3 linked regions of the Caenorhabditis elegans genome follow. The protein of the gene in region 1 interacts with the protein of each later gene in a pairwise test. Each region holds a gene or a part of one and is shown on either strand. Other genes may lie near its edges.

What was found. The genes of interacting proteins can lie anywhere in the genome.
Region 2: the proteins of T28C6.7 (region 1) and C46H11.6 interact in a two-hybrid assay, tested with the Caenorhabditis elegans proteins (one large-scale study listed by BioGRID).
Region 3: the proteins of T28C6.7 (region 1) and mtss-1 interact in a two-hybrid assay, tested with the Caenorhabditis elegans proteins (one large-scale study listed by BioGRID).

The regions. Positions count from the first base shown.
Region 1 is NC_003282.8:8,825,427-8,831,825, reverse strand, and holds the start of T28C6.7 (Kinesin motor domain-containing protein), read right to left. Parts: upstream 4,023-6,399; coding exon 3,873-4,022; intron 3,826-3,872; coding exon 3,612-3,825; intron 3,308-3,611; coding exon 2,832-3,307; intron 2,778-2,831; coding exon 2,385-2,777; intron 2,278-2,384; exon of another isoform or gene 2,138-2,277; coding exon 2,044-2,137; exon of another isoform or gene 1,886-2,043; coding exon of another isoform or gene 1,694-1,885; intron 1,553-1,693; coding exon of another isoform or gene 1,385-1,552; exon of another isoform or gene 1,364-1,384; intron 1,245-1,363; exon of another isoform or gene 1,099-1,244; intron 142-1,098; coding exon 1-141. Other genes in the region: T28C6.8 (Membrane protein BRI3), read left to right, coding at 1,385-1,552, 1,694-1,885; col-3 (Nematode cuticle collagen N-terminal domain-containing protein), read right to left, coding at 5,854-6,399.
Region 2 is NC_003279.8:5,018,095-5,023,710, reverse strand, and holds C46H11.6 (PDZ domain-containing protein), read right to left. Parts: upstream 2,932-5,616; 5' UTR 2,889-2,931; intron 2,839-2,888; 5' UTR 2,835-2,838; coding exon 2,621-2,834; intron 2,130-2,620; coding exon 1,936-2,129; intron 1,632-1,935; coding exon 1,296-1,631; intron 873-1,295; coding exon 726-872; intron 683-725; coding exon 545-682; 3' UTR 501-544; downstream 1-500. Other genes in the region: pat-10 (EF-hand domain-containing protein), read left to right, coding at 3,648-3,650, 3,719-3,770, 3,821-3,927, 4,335-4,490, 4,541-4,708.
Region 3 is NC_003281.10:8,765,662-8,769,743, forward strand, and holds mtss-1 (Single-stranded DNA-binding protein, mitochondrial), read left to right. Parts: upstream 1-2,649; 5' UTR 2,650-2,652; coding exon 2,653-2,745; intron 2,746-2,797; coding exon 2,798-2,862; intron 2,863-3,137; coding exon 3,138-3,492; 3' UTR 3,493-3,582; downstream 3,583-4,082. Other genes in the region: Chondroitin sulfate synthase mig-22, read right to left, coding at 1-420, 488-600, 648-734, 980-1,279, 1,330-1,548.

The DNA of each region.
Region 1 (6,399 bases):
GTTCAGCTAAACGGCGTTCACGTGTCTCATCAGCTCCTCCGTGCGACATTTCAAGCTCACAAAGACGAGCCATGAGTTGTTCGTTTTGCTCGACGAGAACACGACATTTCTTGTCTAGTGCCTTTGTTTTCAGACGGTCTTCTGAAAAAAAACTCGCATTTATATAAAATCCCAAATCTGGCGTTGCTGGTATTAAATTAAACCAACTATCATTTGATTATTTGAAAAAAAAATGAAACAAATTTCAGCTTGAAAAACATTTCGAAAACCAAAATTTATTTTCCCACTGGCATAATATTATTCGGTATATTCTTTCTATGTTTATAAGGTCAACACAACGATGAACACAAAATTTTGCTGATCAAAAGCAGCTGACTCTCTTTCTCTTCATTTTCCGTCTCCCAGTGTATGTTGACAATTGGTGGTGATCACATAAAGACCCCTCGACTTTCATTTTAATTTTAAATCGAAATACACATTGATTTTCTCTCATTTTCTCTACTAATACTTTTAAATTAATTTTACTGTATGTCTTTTAACACTTTTCTAATCAATTTGACACAATGATTTTGCCCCAATTTTTGTACGACTGGAATGTGGTGACAAGTGATTAGTCATGTTATAAAAACCTAGTTGTTATATAAATTGAATTCTATACATTTGAAAAATTTCACGAGGACAATAGAAAACTGCAGAAAACATTTTTTTAAAGCAGTTTTATACTCACATCAAGCAGATATTTTGATGTTGATGTGGTAGGCTCCTAAACACTCGTTTCCTAATTTTTTTAAAGTTCGAATTTCCTTTTAGTAGTACATTCTCATTTATATAATTTTGGAATTTGAACGATTCATCTTTTTTCTATGTTTTTTCTAAACAACCTTTTCATGAAAACGCATTCGAATGGCAATAAGTTCTGAGAAACATGCGTTTTCCTAGAAACTAGTCATGGTTTTGCGGTGGCGTGTTCCTCTCTGTTTCACTGACCAATTTATCATCAGACCTCTTGTATTGTCAACACAAAACAATGTTTCTCTAATTTCTCTATATGTCTGCCTGTCTGTCTGTATATCTGCGTGCCGTTTCTCTCTATGTCTATCTTTAGTTGATTGTGATACTTTAGGCGAAAACAGTGAGGTGGCAGTCGAGCGGATACTTTGTCCTTTCTCTCCCATCGATTATTGACACGCTGCGTCCCACATTAATTTTTTTTTGCATTATTGGAACACGATTCGATGTGGCAAGTGAGTTTAGGCATAATTTATTCTCATAAACGGAGAAGCACGTATGAGCTTCCAGATATGAAACTGCTGCACACCTTCTTCAAACACTTTTTAAAAAGTTTTTAAAGCTTAAATTTCAGATGTAAAACTTCAAAACCATCATGTCATCCACTACATCTTCTAATCTGTCATGTCCGGCTTGCACTCAGAAAAAAGTGAAAAGCCGTTTCAGTTGGCGAGCAATTTTATACGCAATTTTTTGCTTTCCGTGTGGAATCTACTGCTGCATGAAACGGAAAACATACTATTGCACACAATGTCAATGTGATGTGAGTTTTTTCTTTCAAAATAAAATTAGAAGGCTTAGTTCTTATGAAAATGAGAGCTTTAGTTATAATTTCTAAAGAAATGTATTGGTGTTCTGCAATAGCTAATGTCTTATCTCGTTTTTAATAAATCAAATGTTGCAGGTGGTTAAACGTACTGAAACCCGTGCTATTTTACCAAGAACTCCCGGATTGGGCTACAACTTCCGTTTGTACGAATCTACAAAAACGGCTCTTCCAGCTAGTTTTGCTGCATATCGTAATCCGGCAATGACAGCATCATCCACAGATTCTACAGTTTCCACCACACTATCAACTGCACCAATTGTGGATTAATTTTTTGAATTTTTGATTTCGCCAGGGTTTCAAAAGGGGTTTGTTACGTTTAAGTAATTTTCATAAGTAAATATTTCCGATTATTCTGATACTTGATCAGAAGTTTTAAATGATACTTATCCCATTTTTCTTTACAAAAAAGTCTCCTATCGTCTCACCATTTGATTTCTTGTCACTTTGCTCTTTTTCGCGTTCCAAAGCCAATAGTTTCGTCTCGAAAGCTTTTGATTTTATCAGTGCTCGATGATCGACCTGTAAATTATTTGAAATATTTTTCAGTTTCTTTTTCTGTTTGATTTTGGTCAATTAAACTACGGGTTTCAGTGTGATTAATTACATAACTTTGAAACGTATATTTCCAGAATTTTTCCGTTAATAAATATAATACTTTTTCTTTTTTATAGATATTTCAATTGACTTTTCTCTAGACTAGAAATTTCGAGATGTTAAAGATTTTCTTATGGAAAAAATGAGCTTCAACAGGAAATAAAAATCTTACCTGTGAAGCACCCAAATTCTCTCTCAAAAGTCCAATATGTTGCTCATAGATGACAATATCAGCTTCAAGAACTTCAATAAATCTATCCTGTGCTTGAATGGCATCCTTCAATCGGTCAATGTCCTCAAAAATAGCTTTTTTCTGACATTGATTGTAGTTGATAGCGGATTCAGCTTGAAGGAGATCTTCAACCATCAATTCCATCAGCTTTTTAGATTCGTCAACTTCTGAGCTCAAGGATCGTTTGGCTACTTCACTAGCATCTAACTCTGTTGTCAACTTGTGAACTTTTTCTTTCAAATGAGCAACTTGATCACGAAGAAGAGCATTTTGTTCTATTTCCCAATTTCGAGAAGATCGGAGAGTGTCAACTTCTTCTTGAAGACGATCCCTCTGAAAATTGGAAACGTTTCTATACAAAATGATATATTCATCTATTTCACTTACCTCATCTTCATATTTTCCATTGATATCTTCAAGTGTAGTTTCCAACTCCTTGATTCTTGCAGTCGCCGCAACCTTTGCCTTGAGTCCAGCAGTTTTTGCCTCTTTTGTGTATTTGAGAATTTCAGATTCATAGTCTGCTTTCATTTTTTCAACAGATGAGTTTAGTTCGATAACTTGCTGACGGAGTAAAGCATTTTCAGATGAAGCTTCTGTTAAAGCAGACTCGAGAGCGTCTGAAGTTGAAGAAGACATTGAAATGGTGGGATAGCGGGAAACAGATGTAGATGGAAAATTGGAAGATGTTGATGTTCCAATTGAAGAACCATTTGGATTTAAATCAAAAGTTACACGTTTTCTTTGATGTTTCCTATGGATTCCGTCAATATCTGGAAGAGCGCTCAGTTTGCTAGATGGATCAAATGGAGGATCCAATGGTGGAGGAGAGAAGGTTCCCGATGAACTTGAGACCATCGTTTCTGAAAAATAGATCAATTCAATTCCGTTAAACTTTAAAAAAAAGTTTTATATCGTCACAATTTTCAATTTCTAGCCGTGTGCTCAATTTTCGAGCTTATTTTCAAGAAAAAGAGGAGCATACAAATTACTTGGGCAAGCTACCTTTAGATTACTGTAGGTTACAGTTGTCCTAACACGTCTAAGATCAGCAATTTTCCTGTTTGGGAATAATAAAAAAATTCTAAAAATAAAACTGAACGTCATATATATTCAGAAATGGTGCATGACAACTTCATTTTTTTTTAACCAAAAAACTTTACTCACTTCTCTGTGCAATGACATGACCTGGAGATGAACTTCTTGCTCTCCGTTCACTCTTTGAATTTGATAATGGTACTGAGGAATGAGCCATCAAAGAAGGCTCAGTTTCTGTCGACATATCCTTCTTGTCTCTATTCATTTCTTCAAATTTTTGTTGAACAATTCTCATTGCTTGATTTTTGACTGAAGCAACTTCATTGTGCTCACGAACTCTTTCCTAAATACAACTCCAATATGAAACCACAGAAACAGAATAATTCTCACCTGTAAGTCCAAAATTTGCCTTTCTTTATCCAATATCACATTATTTAAATCTATAATTCGGTTATCCTTATACACCAGTTGTTGATGAACCCGTTCATCGATCCGTTTGTCGGCCGATTTTTCTTTTTCTTTGGAGGTTTTGTCCTCCATTTCTGAAAAGTATTATATTTGTATTTAACGTATTTAAAAAGTGACAGTATACTTCAAGGACGTGAAGAAACAATGAGAAGAAAAGAAATTTGAAAATTATAGTTTAAAAAAAGGGATGACGTAAAATTATTCAAAAACTTTTTAAATAATTTGTAAATCCAGAATAAATTTTCTGCGAGAGATTGGAGAGAGAAACAGAGAAACCCCGTTCCACGTAACGGAGAGGCGCTGAACCCACGTGGAAAGCTCACATTTTAATCTCACGCAATAATATGCGTCTCACGTTTTTTTTTCAAAAAGTTTTCCGAACACATCCTTTTTTTTCTAAAATTTTTTAATCTTCCGACACTACTTGAGAAGTCTTATAATGGATGAAAAATCGTTTTTTAAAGTTAATAAACTGATTAGGTATAAGGAGCATGCCAAAAATATATTCACTTTCAGTTTTTTGATAATGTTGCAAATTATTCAAAAGTATAACTCGTAACCTAGTTATCAGAAGTATAACTAACAAAATATTTATTTTTGTATTTAAAGGTTGCTGAAGTAAAATAATTTTCATTTACTGTTTCATTTTTTAACTATAATAATAATATACTCTAGAAATTCCGCTTTTTTTGGTACTAGTGAATATAATTAACTTATTTGAACAAGTATACAAAAGTAAAAATAATTTGCTTCTGAATTAGCTTCTGAATTAGTTTCGGAAATAGTTTCGGAATTCATTTTAATCATTCTCAACAATATCAAAAACCAAAAAAGGTTGCTTCTTTGGCTAGCACTGTGAATTAATACAGCAATTTAAATATAGGTTATATAACTAAATTTGAAACATAAGGAAGAATATATGAAACGACTTAAAACAGTTACAAATCTACGTGCAATTTAATTCCTGAAGAATCAAAAATGAAGTTTTAACACGAAATTCTACAAAAAACTGGTTCGAATTAGTTCCTTTCGAGAGACACGTCGACCAACACGGCACCCGCGTTATTGATTTTCTGCTGACGCACATTCGTTTGCGGTGGCGCATTTCACTTTCGCGGTGACCATTGACATAGTGTATGGGCCAAATAATGGGAGAGCTCGGTGAAATATTAGTGACATTAAATACGGATATTAATTACAAAAAAGAAATCGATGGTAAAAATAACCAAATGACTATTTTGGCATGAAAAAACATGACTTTTCAATTTTTATTTTCTGTTTTGGAACTCTTCATGTAGGCCATTTTAAATCATTAGTTTTCTGTGCGGTGTGTATTCAGAAAAGTTAAAGTAAGCATTGAAAACTGTGAACAAAACGTTATAAGAACACGTCTCATTGTCTGTCAGTACATGAGAGCACGATGTAAAAAAGCAAAGCACACAACTGATATTTTTGTTAAAATAATTTCTGTCTTACTAAAGTTTTTGGGTCAAGATAGATCAAACAGCATCGAGAAGAAAATTTACTAAGTTTGGTAACCCATGAAACACAGTTCTCTTTCTATTTTCAAAAGGCATTTGTGTCTATTAAGCTCATCAGTTCTTCTGAAAAATCAGCATTACTGATAGCATAAATTCTAGGCTTTTCAGGTCATTGTAATAATTCGATAAACCATTCCAAATTTCGAACTAGGAGCATTTTTAAGAATATTGTTTCTTTATACTAAAACTAATAAATATTTTGTACAGAATAATTGTGTATCTATGGAATCGTTATTCTTGCTGCGTAATTACTAGTGACGAAATTTTCTTGTTCTGAATTAGTTATTTTCTCTGAAGTTGAACAAAAAAACACATTAAATTGATGAATAGAGAATATTTTATTGTTGAATTTCTCATAAAATTTAACGGCGAGTTCCGTCCTCGAAGAAGACTCCTCCGTCGATGGCGCAGTACTTTGGACAGATTCCCTTCTCTCCGGCACCTCCGGAAGTTCCAGCTTGTCCTGGGGCTCCTGGGTTTCCGTCGGCTCCTGGGGCTCCTGGGTTTCCATTTGGTCCCTTTGGTCCTGGGGCTCCTGGTTGTCCATCGTGTCCTGGCTGTCCTGGGGCTCCTGGTGGTCCTTGTGGTCCGGCTGGTCCAGCTGGTCCTGGTGCTCCTGGTGTAATTGGCTCGGATGGAGCGTCTTGTCCTGGCTGTCCTGGGGCTCCTGGGGCTCCTGGGTTTCCGTTTGGTCCAGATGGTCCCTTGTTTCCTGGGGCTCCTGGTTGTCCGTCGTTTCCTGGGGCTCCTGGGTTTCCGTTGGCTCCGGCATCTCCGGCTGGTCCTGCTGGTCCTGGGGCTCCAGCTGGTCCGGCTGGGCATGGCTTGCATGGTGGTGGGGTAATTGGCTCACATGGTTGCTGTGGTGGGCGTCCTGGGTTTCCTGGAAGTCCTGGTGCTCCTGGCTT
Region 2 (5,616 bases), on another chromosome or scaffold:
AAAAATGGAAAGAGCGGGCGATGGTTACAGACTTTCTTAGGGCACTTCGATAATTGGTTAGCAAGTAGGAGGGGCTAGGCACTGATTGGTCGAAAAGGTTTTATTTGCGACAAAAAATTTTGAGGGATATAGAACACCGCAGATTCGAACACCTAGAATGTTTAGGTACAAATACATAGAACGTACTAAAATTTAAAAAAACTTCAGGAAAAACAATTGGTCTTTCCACAGACTTCTAGAATTATGTTAGGTGAAGCCGAGTAATAGACAATTTTCACTGTAAATGAAAATATTTCAAAGTTTTGGAATATTTTTGGAATAGTTGTCAATTCAGCATTATGTGATTTTATATTTCAAAATTTGTTGCATACAAGGTTATCCCGATCAGCTGAAATTCGCATCTCATTTATTCAGCATGGAATGATTTGTTAGTAAAACAATTACTATTATCGTTTCACAAAAGCACAAGCATTACCAAGAATGTTCAACAAAATATGAAACCAATAAATAAAATTTCATTTTCAGAAAAATAAAGATCAAATACTCATTCATCATCAAAAGCTCCACGTTCCTCCTCTTCATCACCCGATCTAACTGCATGACTCTTGGTAACAACGTTTTTCAAATTATCGATTTCATCTTCAGCCACATCCGTTGAAATGTTTGCCGTGGATGTTGCAGTCTGAATATTAATGTTGAACCTTCAAATTAAGCTAAGAACTCACCGATATTTTTATTGTGTTATCCTTTTCTTTACTCAACTTCTTGCCAGGTTTCTTTTCACGAGGATTTTTCCCTTTGAAGACATCCCGACTTAAAATGCTTTTTGGTTGCAACTTTTTCAGAACGTTATAGTGCATGTTGCTTGCATTCTGAAAGAAAAATGCGTATGTCTTGTTAAGAAAGTATGAAATTGTATATTTTCTAGTTTGGCTCCACTTTAAATTACTCTACAAATAGCTGCTCAGAAAGTGCAGGCGGGTGACGACTAGAGATTTATTCCAGAAGAATTTTTGAAATTCGGCGACTTGATTGCAATCCAGTGGTCTAAACACGCGTTATTCATGTTCTCGGAGCAATAATTTACCGAGTAGATGTGGAAACTGAGGTGACCAATTTCTCAAGTTTCAGGCTTACTGTATACTTCTGATTTTAAGAAACCCAGTGTTTAGTTATTTTAATAATAATATTTTTGTTGAAGCTCCAGCATACGGATCGTCCTAAATCTTGCAAAACCGGACGCCGGTTTTCCAAGCAAACGTTCAGCCGGTACAATTTGAAGAAAAAGTCCTCACCCGACCAATACATATCGCGTCGTTTGCCATCTTAACATCTGGATCTGGAGCAACTGACTCAATCAAATGACGAAGAGTGTTTGCAGATTCCACAGAAACCGGTCTTTCAACCAAAAATGTGACTTTTTCTCCTTTCAAAATTCCCGACAGTTTCTCACGAATGAAGTCGTCATTTTTCTCTGCGTTCAGAATGGATTCTTCATTTATATCCATTATCAGATCCCCACGACCAAAGAATATCGAAGCGAGTGAGCTGGGCTCGATTCGAGTTACTATGCCACGTTTTTGAATATATGTCACTGTAACTCCAACCGTTGCACTTTTCATTGCGGAAGTCTGGAGTAAATGGTATTTATTAAGGGGTGGACATAAGTTCTAGGTATAATCCAAAGTTATTTTAAACAATTATTTTATGAGAATTTTTGTTGTCAAGCAACAAGCAGTTCGTCACATTTCGTCAAAAAAACTTTCATAATTTCGTCTTTAATTTTTTAAATTAAAAACAATTCATACTCAAAAAACATGCAAAATTCTAGAATTTAATTGGTCATTCTGTAACTCCGTTCAAAACCTCATTGCAAAGTTCAGATTTCGTATATTTTCGAATAAGATAATCATGTCGATTTTTCTTCAATTATACCTTTTCAACTTCAATAACAAAGCACGTATTGTCCCGTCTCAAAACACATCCCGATTTCTTCAACCGTTCTCTGGTCGCTGGGATAATATTTTTCCGTCTTGTAACCTCAACACTACATGTTTCACCTTTCATGAGCTCTGTCTGATACTTGGATATATTTCCACTGGCACCGTTCACCTTGACTATTTTGTCGCCTGAAAGAAAAGTATTTTTAATCTAGTTTTTTAAACTGGTTTAATACATTAATTGGAAAAGTGTAAAGTGGAAAAGAAACTAGGGAGTCTTCCGAGGAAAATTGACTTTTCCTGGCTCAAAATGTATAATTGTGGACAGAAGAGTTTTGAAACCCTTGTACCAGTCAAACCAATTTTTGCCTATTATTTTATCGGGGATAAATATACATTTGTTCGGCAAAACATCACAACTTCATAGCAAACTCTTGCAACTTGAAACAAACATTTATAAACAATTGCCAAGAGATGTTACAAAGTTGCAAAAACCGGAGCAGTTCTAAGCGAAATGTTTCATAAAGTTTGCCAAAAGAAATTGCAAGAGTCATCTGAAAAGCTGCAGAAATTTGTTAGAAAACTAAAGTAAATAATGGTTTGTAAGAAGTTGCAAGATTCTGTTATGAAGTTGGCCCGCTTCAAAATAGTTTCGGGTTATCCGGCCGTTGGAAACTTACTCAATATCAATCCATTGTAAAACGAGTTTGTTGATAGGAAAGAAACCATCGAATTCTCATTAATTCTAATAACTTCATTCGCAGGCTTTCCGACATCTTTTTCATCAATCTTGAATGAAACTGTCATATTTACAGTTTCCACATTCTGTGGGATCGGTGTCAGCCAACATTCTTTCATCTTTTTGTTCGTATTCTGCACTTTTTTCTTCGACATTCTTCTTCAAAAGAAATAACGTTTTCCGAAGTTACTTGTTAGCTCCAAACTCACGATTATGGTTTCCTTTTGAAATCCGGAAATTTAGTGTCAAATGATAAATAAGAATGATTAGAAATCTACCTCCTCCCCCTCGACTAAACTGAATTGGAAAAACATAAAGTTTAAATTCAAAATGGTGTGTCACGCGATAAAAAGTTACTGGAGAAACTTGAGAATTATAAAATAGTATTCAAATTAAACGTTTGATATAAAACTGTAAAGATATACATACTCAGTGCACATTTAAAAAAACTGAAAAAAAAACGTTGTTGTGTTCTGAAGCCCAAAAAGGCTAGATGTTCTGGTCACCATGTACAGCTAAGAATCCAAGTATTCTGGGAAAGTTCAATTACATATATTGCCTGTCAACTCCATTTCTGTACTTAATTCTACTCCAATTATATTATTTTTTTTCTATTTCCTGGACTTTTATTGATCCTTGGTTGCCTGTCCCCCCAATCTTTCTTCGTACTCTCCTCCCGTTTCCCCTTCCTTCTCGGAGAGCCTTGTCTCTCGAATCCTGTGTTTCGCAAAAATCATCGTCAACTTCCACACAGATATCATTCTGCGTCTCTTCGCCCTCTATGATCTCTCATGCCCGTTGATCAGGAGCATCTGTCACCCAGTGTAACACCAAGAATGTGTTTTGTGGAGGAGACGATGATGCCGTTGTGAGAAAGAAAAGCCCGCCCTCGGGTTCCTCCGCCTACTCGCTCCCGCCGTTGCTTCTGCCCGACGAAGCTTATCCAGAGCACAACAAACTCCGACAACATGGTGAGTCCCGCTTTCTCATGTCTTCAATAAATTTCTTTTTGAATTTTTATATGTTTATACTTTTATAGGCTGAGGATATCGAAGAGATTCTTGCTGAAATCGACGGATCCCAAATTGAGGGTAAGATATTTTATATTTATGATTGAAAAATCATCATTAAAACTTTCTAGAATACCAAAAGTTCTTCGATGCCTTCGACAGAGGAAAGCAAGGATACATCATGGCCACTCAGATCGGTCAAATCATGCATGGAATGGAACAGGATTTCGATGAGAAGGTAAATCATTTTGGAACTTTTGGTTTATGTAGAGTTAGGGGATCTTCAGAAGAGTGATAATTCAAATTAGGAAGTTTTCAACTCTTTTAAATTTAGGTTTCACGGTAATGATTAGGTAGGCCAACTGAGTAAGATAACCGAAAATATAAATGGGTTACTCTTGCCTAAAATTTTGTTTTTATCCGACCTATCTTCTGCGGCTTGTTTCTCAACTGAATTCAATTAATTTTCGCCACTAAAACATGTTACTAATGTTTGTGAAATAATTAATTTTGATATTCCATCTGAACAAAAGCATTTATTATGTCGACTAAAGTAAGATATAACTATATGTTATGAAATTTAGTTATAGAATTGATGATTTTGATTTTTCTAAATCTATGTGGCATCTAACTTCATTCTTTTAGACCCTTCGTAAACTGATCCGCAAGTTCGACGCTGACGGTTCCGGAAAGCTCGAGTTTGACGAGTTCTGCGCTCTCGTGTACACCGTTGCAAACACTGTCGACAAGGAAACATTGGAGAAAGAACTTCGTGAAGCTTTCCGTCTTTTCGACAAGGAGGTTTGTACTTTTAGATTTTGCTTTTTATTCTTTAATTATTAATTTTTCAGGGTAACGGATATATTTCTCGACCAACTCTGAAGGCTCTTCTCAAAGAAATCGCCGATGACCTCACCGATCAACAACTCGAGGAGGCTGTCGACGAGATTGACGAGGACGGTTCCGGAAAGATTGAGTTCGAGGAGTTCTGGGAGTTGATGGCTGGAGAGTCTGATTAAATTTTCTAATTCCTTTAAAATGTAAGTGTTCGAGCTTTTTTTGATTTTATTCAAAAACTAACTTTTTATTTTTCAGCGCTGATCTACAATCTTCAACTGTGGGGACCAGTCACCAACTTTTCATAATTTCCTTTTTCTTGAAATGTTAAATTCATTTCACTTTTTATTAATTTTCTTGTCATTCTTTTGAATGAATAAAAATGAATAAAAGTCTTTGTACATCCACAGGCTTATTGGAAGAGTGTGACCAATTTGAAACGGCCAAAATCAGGAAATAATCAGAAGAACTAGACTTCTCAAATCCTTTAACACAACATCAAATCCGCAGTATAGTGCTCCGTTTTCTCTTGACCTAAAAAAACGGGAAAAGTCCATCTACGGGGAATGGAATGACAAATCTCTATAAATATAGAGATTCACCGTTGCAACCTTGTTGTTTGAAAGTGAAGTGTCTCTAAATAGAATGAAAATTATGAAAAATGGAAAATGTATTAAATCACTGCAAATGAGACCTCTACTCTGCGGCATTACAGTTTTTACCGTTTTAGCGCAACAGGACAGTTTTTGTAAATTTGCAAAAGTAAAGTGACAATTCTCTATGTAGATTTTCTACGAATGAATTTCAGGATACTTGTGAACTTGCAAAACAGTTTTTCACTATTTCAATTGTTCCAAATCTAAATTCAACAAATCCCTCTCTTTTTCTCTATCTGTGCTCAACTCTTTTCTATATAAACTTAGTGTAACATAGGCTTTATCTTTTTCTATCCACTTTCCCACCAATATCCCTCCAGGAATAGAAAAGGGATTAACGGTGGAGACTCCAAATAGTGTCCATCACATGCAGCTACTATTGCTCCAGAAGCCCTTCACGAGTCTCTCTGCCGTCTCTTTGCTTATCAGAGCCC
Region 3 (4,082 bases), on another chromosome or scaffold:
TGATACCGATTTGGTGGTTTTGCATACGGTGGAAGTGCTGGTGGCCAGCTGATAGCTTCTCCTGTTTCACGAGCTTCTTGCTCAGCCAGACGAGAAAGTTCAGCTTCCATTTTGATAATTTCTCGATCAGCTCTTTGCATTTCAACTCGAACGAAATAATCATGAAGTGCAGATGCATCTGCATCAGAAAGTAATCTTGGCACAGCAAGAGCTCTCTTAAATGCTGGTGAATGTTTCCAGTCCTCAATCGAGTCATGAGCAGCTGGCGAATCAGCTCTCTCGGCTCCTCGCCAAACTTCATAACGAACTCCTTGATGAAGCGGCTTACATGTCAAATTTGTTGCGATTTGAATGCACTTTTCAAATGCGAGTTGATCGTCATCGGCTGCCAGTGCGAAATTGTTGCAAGCATTCCGATTGCTGAAAATATTCAGTTTAAAACACTTTTCAGTTTATCATAATGTGAAAATTTTGATTTAAAGCTTACTTCATCAGAGCATGCATTGCTGGCTGACTGAGCAACATTCCAGTATCCAATCGGCATCGTCCACTTCCATCTTCAGCTGCTTCACCCATCACAACTGGTTCATTCCAATTCATCTGACAATTAACAACTATTTTACAAAAACAATTACTGGATAAAATACCGTATCAATCATTCTGAGCAAAACGAATGGGTTGATATACGTCGAATCTTTGGCAAGTAGAAACCAGTCATAGTTGTTGTGGACTGTCTGAAAACATTTTATTTTTAATCAGGAAATGCAACTCCGACAGGAAGAAGCCAAAAAGAACAATTGAGATACTCTGAACAGGGGAATTTTTACACCAAAATCGACTTTACAACATGGGGTAAACTTACTGAAAAACATTCAATTGACAATTATAATTGATTCTGAAATAGTTTTATGACTTTTTTTTTTGAAATACGAGTAGTTGACAACTACATAAAAAAACATTTTTGAACAACTCAACTAACCATATTGAAAAGGAGACCCAAAACCATCGAATGCGTCTTTTGTCCGTTTAGTTTATATGGACTCAAATTGGTTAACTGGGCCAAGTCATTGTCGATTCTTGAAGAGTCAGCAAACAAATGTACACGTGGAACATGGCGCCCAAGAGTTGCATTAATAGAAAGAGCCAATGCAGACTCAGCCATCACTGCGGCCATAACTCGTTCACGTGTACCGAGTTCAGTGGCTGCAAATCGAGTTCTTGTAACCTTTGGAGTAGCGTCTTGATTATGAGGAGGCGCTGGCATATCGTCTTGGTGAACCTAAATTTGATTCTTTCATGAAATTTTGTGTTTTTTTTAAAGCTACTCACAATCCAATGCTCAGATAAATCTTTATATACTCGCCCTTTCTCCAGTGCCGATGGTTCAAGAACATTCGTTTCTGTTTCTTGATTCTGACATGATGTAAATGCAGCCAATGAGCTGGTCAAGTCTATACTTGGTGTGGATGAAAAGAAGAAGAGCGCGAGAGCGGCACCTATAAGGAATCCAAGAAGCAAGTGTATGCCTGTTCGACCGCCGCCGACCATTCTTCGATTCTAAAAAAGGAATAGAGAATTATTAAACTTTTTTTCAAAGCCGGTGAAAAACGTACCAAACAGTCAGCAATACGCCTTGATACAATTCCAATAACGAAGTTTTCTTGTGAAGAAGCTCTGAAAATTTACAATAAGAAAGTGAAGTGAACAAGAGCAAATAGTGATGTTTGAGCATGAATGAGCAGAACACAGGTTAACTGATCAAAGAAAAGCGTGAAAAGACAATACGGGTTTATGAATGAATGCAAAACAGTCGTCATAGAAGATGTGTGTGACAATGCTCGTAAAATGATTGCAGGACATGTGAGTGGAGCGACAACCTTCTTCGGTATGCGATGCAGACGGAAGACAAAAAAAACGAGAAGAGGCTGTGATCGACGCCGACGTTGTAAGAAGGTGTTTGAAGAGATAGTCTTGAGTTGAAAGAGACGCAGACATTATGTTCTGTACTTGACCTGACTAACTAAGGTCATTTTAGAAAATTTAATGTTCGAGGACAGTGAAACCGTTAATAACATGCTATTTTGAGAATGTTTTTCTAATTTCTTAATTTTCAAGATTTTATCTCAATTTTAATTGAATTAGGAAATTAAGTTCGAAATATGACAGATAATTCGTGGGAATAATTAAAATAACATATACATTGGAATTATGAATATCTTTTTAGTAGTTTTAGAATGAACATCTAATAACAATCAAATATAGGAAAATCCGAAATAAGATTTTGAATTTAACGGAATTTTGATAAATTTTATTGGTTTGAATCAATAAAATTGTAGAAATAAAGTGGTTTTTTGCAGTGAAACTTAAAAAATAAAAATAAACCGATGACAAGAGAAAAGCGAGAGAAACACTGAGTAAACTGTGCGGCGTGTTTGCGGAAATCGCGTGCCAGGCTTGCAACAGTGCGCGATTCAACTCCGCCCACAAAAAATGCAATTTTATTTTTGCTTTTCCATATTTAACAGTTGTTTTGAGCCCGTTTTTATTTGTAAAATGTATATACTATGTTTAAATCTTTTCGTTGAACATTTAATATTGAATTTTTAAAAATAACTCATATTTTGCTCAATCGATAAACCAAAATTATAGAAAATGCTTCGTTCACTTTCCACGATCTCCAAGTCTACCGTCCGCTGTATGTCATTGACATCCAAAATGGCTGCTGAGCAACCGAGCAAGCAAGAGGTAAGTTGAAAAACAGCGAATTGTGCAATTATGAAATTTTTGTCTGTTTCAGGTTGATGACTTGTTCGCTGAAAAACCACAACATCATAACCCAGAACAAAGACGGCATGCATACAGGTATGATATGAGTTTTACACAAATGTTAAACTTGCATTTTTCTGAACTAGGAGATTAATAATTTGTATCAAAGTTCCTGCTAGAAAAAATAAAATGTCACAATTTTCAAAAGCACAAACGCAACGATTGACAATAAAAATTACTTATTAAAAAGTCGTTCGAATATTGTTGTAAAATAGCTGTGAAAGATACAATTTCAATTTTGAAAGCATAAAAAAACAAATTTTGAATTCAGATCATATCGATTCAAAATTTATTTATTATCACTATTTCAGTGTGAATAAAGTGGAACTAGTCGGAGGAGTCGCCTTGGATCCATTGTACAAGACTGGAAGGAACGGAAAACCTTACCTCATCTTCAATATCATCACCAACTCGTACTTCAAGCAGCAAGACGGAACTACTCTCGATCAAACTGAACGTCACGCCGTTTCAGTTTTCGGAAAGCAAGCCGAAATCCTTTCAAAAACCATCAAGAAAGGATCCCGTCTTATGGTTCAGGGGAGACTTCATTATTCTGGAGGACAGAAGGACGAACAAGGAAACCGTACACAACGCAACACCTACATCATCGCTCAAACTGTTCAACCATTGGCTCGAGCAGCTAGAGAGAATCCAGATCAACATTAATTTTCAAAATTTTTTAAATATTTAGAATCTCCGATAATAGACCATTGTTGTTGTTTTTGTTGACGAGTTATTTACCTGATTAAACATTATCTCATATTTAAAAAAAAAAGTTTTATTTGATTGCATACCTGGTTTTCTAACCATATTTATTATCTGATCGTTCTTTGAAAGTTCAGCTAAATCAACTTTTGATAAGAATCGGAATTCACTACACTGTCAAAATATTGATTTTTCGTTTTTTCCTCATCATTCCGTCTCTCGCCAGTTGTTCCTCCGAAACAACACAATATCCCTCCCTTTTTCTTGTTTTCTCTCGGGCACTTTGAGCCAATGTTTTAAATTGTTGAAGCAGTTTCACACGATTTAATCGATTTTTTTGTAGAATTGGGAAACCATGAACCGATCTGGACAGCGCTTGATTGTCTCTGCACCTCGGCAGATCGCCTTTTCCACTGCTGTCAGGTATGTGATTGTTTTTTGGTTATGCATTACGTGCAAATAATTATATTTGAAATCATGTTATTTTTTAAAATTTCTATATTCTTCCGAATTGTTTTTTTCCTCCACTATTTTTCTATTGAGATGTTGTT